Linked DNA regions of Oreochromis niloticus. The protein of the gene in region 2 interacts with the protein of the main gene of each other region in a pairwise test. Links are inferred from orthologs where the notes say so. Each region holds a gene or a part of one and is shown on either strand. Other genes may lie near its edges. The genes, in order: sf3a3 and tada2a.

Evidence for each region.
Region 1: the proteins of tada2a (region 2) and sf3a3 interact in binary tests that used the Homo sapiens proteins (3 or more experiments, as listed by UniProt). The two-hybrid records come from large-scale screens. The link is inferred for Oreochromis niloticus from reciprocal best matches to the Homo sapiens genes TADA2A and SF3A3.

What each region holds. Positions count from the first base shown.
Region 1 is NC_031985.2:38,727,382-38,731,309, forward strand, and holds the start of sf3a3 (splicing factor 3A subunit 3), read right to left. Parts: upstream 3,085-3,928; 5' UTR 2,592-3,084; coding exon 2,496-2,591; intron 2,386-2,495; coding exon 2,338-2,385; intron 1,927-2,337; coding exon 1,874-1,926; intron 1-1,873. UniProt on the Homo sapiens protein: Component of the 17S U2 SnRNP complex of the spliceosome, a large ribonucleoprotein complex that removes introns from transcribed pre-mRNAs.
Region 2 is NC_031979.2:27,871,270-27,875,197, forward strand, and holds the start of tada2a (transcriptional adapter 2-alpha), read right to left. Parts: upstream 2,542-3,928; 5' UTR 2,415-2,541; coding exon 2,390-2,414; intron 1,984-2,389; coding exon 1,877-1,983; intron 1,796-1,876; coding exon 1,736-1,795; intron 1,644-1,735; coding exon 1,552-1,643; intron 1-1,551. UniProt on the Homo sapiens protein: Component of the ATAC complex, a complex with histone acetyltransferase activity on histones H3 and H4. Required for the function of some acidic activation domains, which activate transcription from a distant site. Binds double-stranded DNA.

The DNA.
Region 1 (3,928 bases), on a different chromosome or scaffold from region 2:
TGTGCCTTTATGGAAATATGCCTTTGACACGGTTTGCTACTCCGATTCTTTATCAGACTTTAAATAACCACAATATCTCCAGAATATTTCTTTGGACCCGTCTTTTCCAACAGTGTCCTCATCTTGTGAGCCCTGGGCATGTCCTTTCAGGTGTCTTCAGTAATGCTACAGCTCACATTTGTCTTCACAATTTGGTGTCATTTGGTCTTCTATCCTGCTCACATGCCTAACATACTGCTATGCCCAGCTGCAGTAGCCGGCTCCTCTGTGCTGCTTACTGCAACCTGTCTAGAAGAGGCACACAATTGGTTTGGTGTAGCGCTATTCTCATTGACGATGGGTCTCCTGTGTGTGACAGAGGGGCATTTTGTGATATTACTATTATTTCCTCATCATTTAAACTCCTGCACCAACAAAACTTGAGAAATATGGGATAAATAAAGTATTTCTTATTGTCATCTAGCTGTCGTGTTTCTGAGTGATTTGCTACTAGATTGGTGAATAAACCCGTGTGTGTGTGAATCCCAAGTTAGAGAACAACAACAATGCCACAGTAGAGCAGGCAATAGTCTAGCAGATTAGGGCTGTGCGATATGACCAAAATCTCATATCCCGATATTAAGACATCTATCGTCCCGATAACGATATAAATCACTAAAATTTAACATTTTCTGTAAATTCTGTCAATCTCTGGCAGCTCGACTTCCGGGAAGTGTTTCCAGCTTGGGGTTGTGTACTTGGAGTCGAGTGTTTTAACCGATGCATGAAACTATACATTTTTAGACATAGGTTGTAACGGCCGCCGTTTTCTTTGTGAGTATTTATCACACGGCGTGCTGCGGGGAAAAGCCTGTTCTAACGTTTGAGTCTAAGGTTTATTTTTTAGCACCTGGTGACTCTCATCCATAAACACTCTGCATACTCTTTCATGTAATTCAGTTTATTTTGAAAAGTCTCAACAGGATCTTGAGCTTTATTGTGAAAGGTTTATGTGGAAAATAAACAAGCGGACACGAGGTGGTTTCACCGTCGTTGTTGCTAACGACAACGGATAAAAACAGTTGCTTGTCTGTCTGTAGTGTGGTTATATTAAATATAAGAGAAAGAGAGAACTTTAAGAAATTAATATAGCCACTACAGTGACCATCAAAATAATGAAAAAATATTGCCGTAAACAGCTTATTTTGCGACACCACGAAACAAACGATAGCGTAAAATGAAACGATAGATGTTTTTATATCGTCATCCGATATATATCGTTATATTGAACAGCCCTATAGCATAGCGGTCCCCAACCTTGCGCCACAGACCGGTTTATGCCCGACAATATTTTCACGGACCGGCAATAAGGTGTCGCGGATAAATACAACAAAATAAAACTAGTGCCGGTACCGAAAAAAAGAAGCTTTATTCATAACACACGTGAAAAGACCCAGGAAAACCGAGTTAACGATAAAAACGATAACAAAATAACGCTGAAAACCGATAAAAACCCTGAAAACCATACATTTCACACCTGAGCCTCGACTCTCGCGGCCCGGTACCAAACGACTCACGGACCGGTACCGGTCCGAGGCCCGGGGTTGGGACTGCTGCTATAGCAGATTCACATCATTTCCAGAAGTGGTGAGATTGGAGCTGACGTTAACCATCTCCCGTCATGTGCTACATGTAAGAAAGGGCAACTTAGAAATACGTCCCCATCCTGACTGTCACAAGATTTTTCAGGCTTCTCATGTGAATACACCATTAGTTGGTCTACTTTTCAAATAACCGCTCAAAAGTTTGTTCCTCCACTCCTGTAACCGCACAAAGGTCCAGCCAACATATCTATATTTGAGTGGAAATAACTGTTCGCTAAGAAAACACTCACCCATCTTTGTCTTCATACAGGTCTCTGAGATTTGCGCTCACTTCCATATACCTCTGCAAGAAGAAGCACAGATACCTTTTTACCAGTGTTGACCATTAACAGTGAAAAGTTGCTAATTATCAAAAGTGATTCTTTGTCTCCAATGTGCGTCTCTGAAGTCAGGTTTTAACCATTTATATTTTACACCTAGTTTTAATGACCTCTGATGCACTTGGGGCAGATTTTTGGAGTGTCATTTCGTTGTGACACCGCTTCATTCAGTACATCTGATTACATTCTTTATCTGACCTCTTTTCTGTGATTAATGTATGAAAATGCATCAAATCTGCTAATAAATTGTTCTTTGCACGTTTACAAAATTGTAACTGGGGTTTTATGAAAGGTTAGTTATTCGTTGAATTTCCAGCAAATACTATTAGCCAGTTGGTGAGAGCAGTTTTAAATGAGTCCAAACTCTTACTTACATCCAACATCGCTCTTGTTCGATGGTCAGAATTTATTTGTTCACGCAGCTGAAACGAGAGTTGGAAAAAAACACACAGAAAAATGTTAATTTCAGGGTTTCTGGGATTCACGACCAAGCGTAACAATGCTAAAGCTAGCCTTAAGTGGCACCACTCACCGTCGACTTCTTGTGTAACATTTCTTTAGTTTTAGCATCCATTAGCCTCTCTTTCTCTTCGTGATAGCGACGCTGTTGTTCTAATATAGTTTCCATTGTCCGCAAAAATGTCGAACGTTTGCTAAAGACGAATTAAGGTTTCTAATGGGGTAGAATACAAATGAAGGAAAGCGGCAATACCCGCCGTATCTTGTACGTTTGTTTTCAATGGCGCATGTCGACGAGCTAACGGCCCGCACTGTATTAGCCGTAAGAGAAACATGAACCCGTGGAAGGGTTCCGCCGTGGTAATGTCTGTGTACAATACTTCTATATTTTTTTATCTGAAGCCTTTCGACAGTTAATAATAACACTGGTTCCAGTTTATTTTTAGACAATTACCGTGAAATCCTTTGACACAAATTGTTGAAAGTAATGGTTTCGTTTATATTTTGACCTTTTTAGCTAGATGAGTTGATGGGCATAACAGCAATTCCTTTCAAGAGGATCCCTGGTCTTTACATTACTGAAATGTAAAAACTGCTTCTGAAAAGTACACTTTTTCAACGTGATGGGTTGGCACCACACCGTGCACGGTCTGTGCCGCGTGCTCGGTATTCTCTTTGCACTTCCTTTGTAGTCTACACTATCATCAAAGCCTGACATAACACACAGCGCACCCTGGCGTAGGCGCGCGCACGAAGGCAGTCTGGAGCCGTCAAGCGTCGGATTGGTAAAAGAGAAATAGACCGGAAGTGTGAACTCTGTGTCTTAACATAAAATGCGTCCATTCATCCTCTTCTTCTCATCTTCTTCGGAGGGCTTTTTTTTTTTTAAATCAGTTGCTTGATTCAGTTAAAAAAATCTGAACTAGTTTGCATTATAGACTGACATTTTTGTTTATTCCTTGTTATTTTTTTCGGCAATTTTCACTGGTATCAAAATAAAATCCAAATTAAAAATTAATGGTTAGAAATAACATGTTACACAGTAGGATCAGGGAAGATAAAGCAAATAGGCTAACGAGTGCAAAACTATTCTATGAGTATTGACATTGGGTGAATGGACATTACAAGCCTCAGGTCTACTCGTGCACAAGTGAAAAATTACTTCTGAGATTTAACAGATCGCCAGTGTAATTTTTTAACCTCATTTGAGTTAAAGTGTATTGCAGCATATGAATCTTATTTTTTATAGGCAGTCTTCGGGGAAAATAAGCCACAGGCTTTTATTTTGACAGATTAAACCGGAAACTGTGCTCGTAACGGTCGCTACCGTGACAGTCGCGGTTTCACCACATTCTCAAGCAGTCAGTCAAAGCAGCGGACAGTAAAAAGAAGCGGACGAGCAGCGTTGCGGATTTACAGAATAAACAGTGGAGCTTATAACACATACGTCCAGCCAGCTTATAAAGGTGAGCTGCTCATATTCTTCGCTAATGGAGTCAACTCTAT
Region 2 (3,928 bases):
CTTGATAACACTGAGAAAAGTAGATAGAAAATAAATAGGGGCCTACTGTATAAAAAAAGGTATATTTGAAAGACTAGTATGCTCAACTGAATATATACTTACATAGTAAAAAGAGGATTAACAGAACTGCAAGAGTAAACTATTTTTGTGGGTATGCTGCAACTGCTCAGGCTGTTGTTAGGTAGCTGCCAGGCAACATGATAAATATACAAATACACAAAATCTCTGTGACTTTGTTTGTCCACAAACTGCTTTTACACTCTCAGGAGTTGAGCCACCAAACCAACCTTAGGCCCCTGAATGTCCTTATATATATATTTAACCAGATAATATAATGACATCATGTTGCCTAGCAACCACATACCAACATCTTTAAAAAAAATGACCCATTTGTAGCATTTATGCACATATGTCCTTATAAAAACATTGTACCATTTTAATTTCTTGATCATAAAATCAAATTTTGCAACATCTCCAAATTGTGACCCTTACAGTAACAATGTTACATCACTTGAGTTAAGCTTACGGCATTTCAGGATTATATCAAATGTTTAATGTTGGATAAAAAAAACTGTTTAAATGTACTTAAGGAAATGGGATTTGAAGCCATAAATATGCAACTATTATGAATAGTTAAGTTATAAAATCCTCATTTACTATATGGGTGTGCAATTGGTTGAACAAAACCTTAAAGGTCCCTTAACCATACATAGATGTAGCTACATTTTGCTCTATATAAATATACAATCAGTCCAATATTTACTTCCTATTTATTTACATAAACAACATCCCATCCCAACATTTTTTTCAAACTTTTCTCAGTTTGATTAAGTACATCAGTTAGTCAACAGCATAAACAGGCCAACATGTACTGTCTGTTTTTAGGTGATTCCTGGGCAACATAACATTGTAACATCAGATATAGATAAGAACTTTCAGGTTCCTAAGACACACCTATGTGCCAAGTTTGCTTGCTTAACTCCTGACTGTGTAGGAGTTTGCAGACAAAGAAGCAAACAAGAGAAATTCTCTGCAACATTTCGTTCACTTGTTATCTCAGCACTATGTTACTGTCGGTAACAGATGTTTGGAGCTTTTATTATGCACATGATCTGAAAAATTAGCTTTGAGACATGCAATTGCCATTAAATGAACCATTTATGTTGGAAAATAGTTAGTGGTTAGCTTTGCTGCCTAAGAGCAAGTAGAAGCTGTGTTTGAAGCCACAGGCCAAATAAGCCCTTTCTGTGTGGATTTTGCAATGTTCTCCCTGTCACTGTTGATTTCTCTAGATACTCTGGCTTCCTCCTAAAGTCCAGAGACTGCTTCTTAGGTTAACTTGTTGTTCTAAAGGGACAGTAGATGAATGTGAGTGTCCACAGTTGTCTGTCTCTGTGTTAGTCCTGCAACAGACCAATGACCTGTTTAGCGTGTACCCTGCCTCTGGAAACTGGACTGCATGCCATAATCTTAGCATGTAGGGTTTTTAAGAAATAAGGACATGTGTATGTAGTTTGAGGAAATCTTACCAAACAACTACAAAATACTAACCAATTTCCAAAGCCACAGTCCATGACGGCTTCAAGCAGGGCCATCTCTTCCTGGGCCGTCCACCCAGGCTCCAGCACGGGGAAATCTGACGTCTGCATAACGGGGTGAAAGATGAACATTCATGTTGAAAGACAGCCACACTGGATAAGATTTCATTTGTTTGTTTGTTTTTTATTTCACTCACCATGATTTCATATTTGTGATCACTCTGGTGCTTCTTGTACTCAAATCCTCTGGTGAAGCACTAAAGGGAAACAAAATGTTTAGTTTCAGTTGGACTGGGTTTGTCTGCAGGTAAATTTAACAGTTTTTGTGACCGGTTCACCTGGAGGCACAGCAGGAAAGGTGACGGTCCACATTCTGCACATTTGATGTAAGGCTCAGTCAGAAACGATGAACAACCTCTGCACGGCGGTTTATCGGAGGGGTCATCTGAAATCACGTGATTTTAACACTTTAAGTCACCAGGTAGGGTTGTATATGAAATCACCTGACATTACTTTACATGAAATAAGCTTACAATGTAAACAAGACTGCAGCTTTCGATTAAATAGGCTTTAAAACGACCTTTAAGCTAAACCACACATGCTAACTTTAAAGCGCCATGTATGATAATGTTTCATCACCGTTTGCAAAGCAGCTCAATAACAAACCGCACTGAAGACTGTTAAAGAAGTTAACACACCGTGTTAGCATCACTGCGCGCTAACGCTAATGTTAGCGTAGCAGAGCTAGCTTAATACAGCTAACTTGGGAAAATAACCCTAAAAAATGATAGATGATTATACTTTAAAGCTCAAGTGGACACGTGTATCTGTAACATATTACTAAAACTTACTTGCAAAAGATGCTAGGCGGTCCATAATATTACGTTTAAATGAAACTAATAACAGAATCGACGTTTAGGTTCCATCTATTTTTCAAAGCTTGCAAGTGACCCTGATTGTGAAGGCACAGCTAATCGAGCTCAGATAACTCAGTACTCAGCGTAGATATATTTTCTATAAGGAGGACCGATAAGACTAAAATCAGTGACTGCAGAAATGGCCCTAAATATTAACTAAGTAACTAACTAAGAAATGTAATACATGTAATGTAATTTGGTATTTATATTACGGCTAGATAAATAGAGTTTATATTATTCCACACCGGGCAAATTTACTTGCTACAGCAGCATAGGGGTCAGAGACAACATGTGAATTAGTGATATATTAGAAAACAATGAAAAAAACAAGACTAACAAAACGGCTAATACTTCAAAAAAAATGCAAAAATCAATTAAATACAAGACTATTTTTTTTTACTTTGCAGAAAATGTACTGTATACACTAAAAGCCAGATCACAGATATTAAAAAAAACAAAAAACATATGTATATAAAGTGCAGTGGGAATGATAATACATACACAAGTATAGTGGTCCGTCCTACACTGTGGCTAGTGCACGGGCCATAACAAAGCTGGCCTTCTTCATTAGAGTATTAAGTTGTTTCTGGTTCTTCCCCAGCAGTAAAACTGCATAAAAAATTGCAAATAGACCTCAGCAGGTCATAAAAAGTCCTCAGTAATGTCCTGCACGACCCAAAAGCCAACTTTCTTGCACATAGCTTTGGACCAGTAATCGAACCACTCCACTATACTTTTAAGGTGAACCCTCTTTTATGCCACCTAAGTACTACTTCCCCATTTATTATTTTTTTTATTCTCTTTGCTTCGTTATTCAAATGAGGGCACTGTCTGCCCTCTGGCAAATGTGTCATGCGGTTGACCTTTCACCTGGCTGGCTCACAACAACTATTAAAAATGTAATCACGATACACAAATAAACATATAAATGTAACAATTATAAAATGTATGAAAGGAAATTTAAACAAGAATATAAATATGTAGTTGAAATAATAATAATATTTAATGGTACAAGGATAGACAAATTAAAGGTAAAATTTCTTTTAATCTTGCTGACAGCTGTTTATTATTGTTTTTTCTATACATGTACAACAGTCCACGAATAATATCAAGCATAATATATAAAATATAATATAAAATATAAAGTCAAAAGGTTTCACAGACACATGGAGATGATCTGTTTCACTTTTCCTCCTTCACTTCTCTTACTGCAGTTTATTGACATAGCCCCAGACCCAGTCCAAGTGAAAAGCGCCTTTATTAAAAACGATATTAAATAAAATTACAGCATGTTAGCAGGCTGGACTTCTTCTGAAAGGATCCCATTTAGAAAAGTGAAATAGTAAAATGAATAAATGAAATCATATGTATGTGATCTTTATTATTTTCGCCACTCTTCAAAGAAAAAAACCCCCTCTGTCATTCTCCATCTTACCACAGGGTGCTGATCTTGGACTATTTCTCTAATGAAAA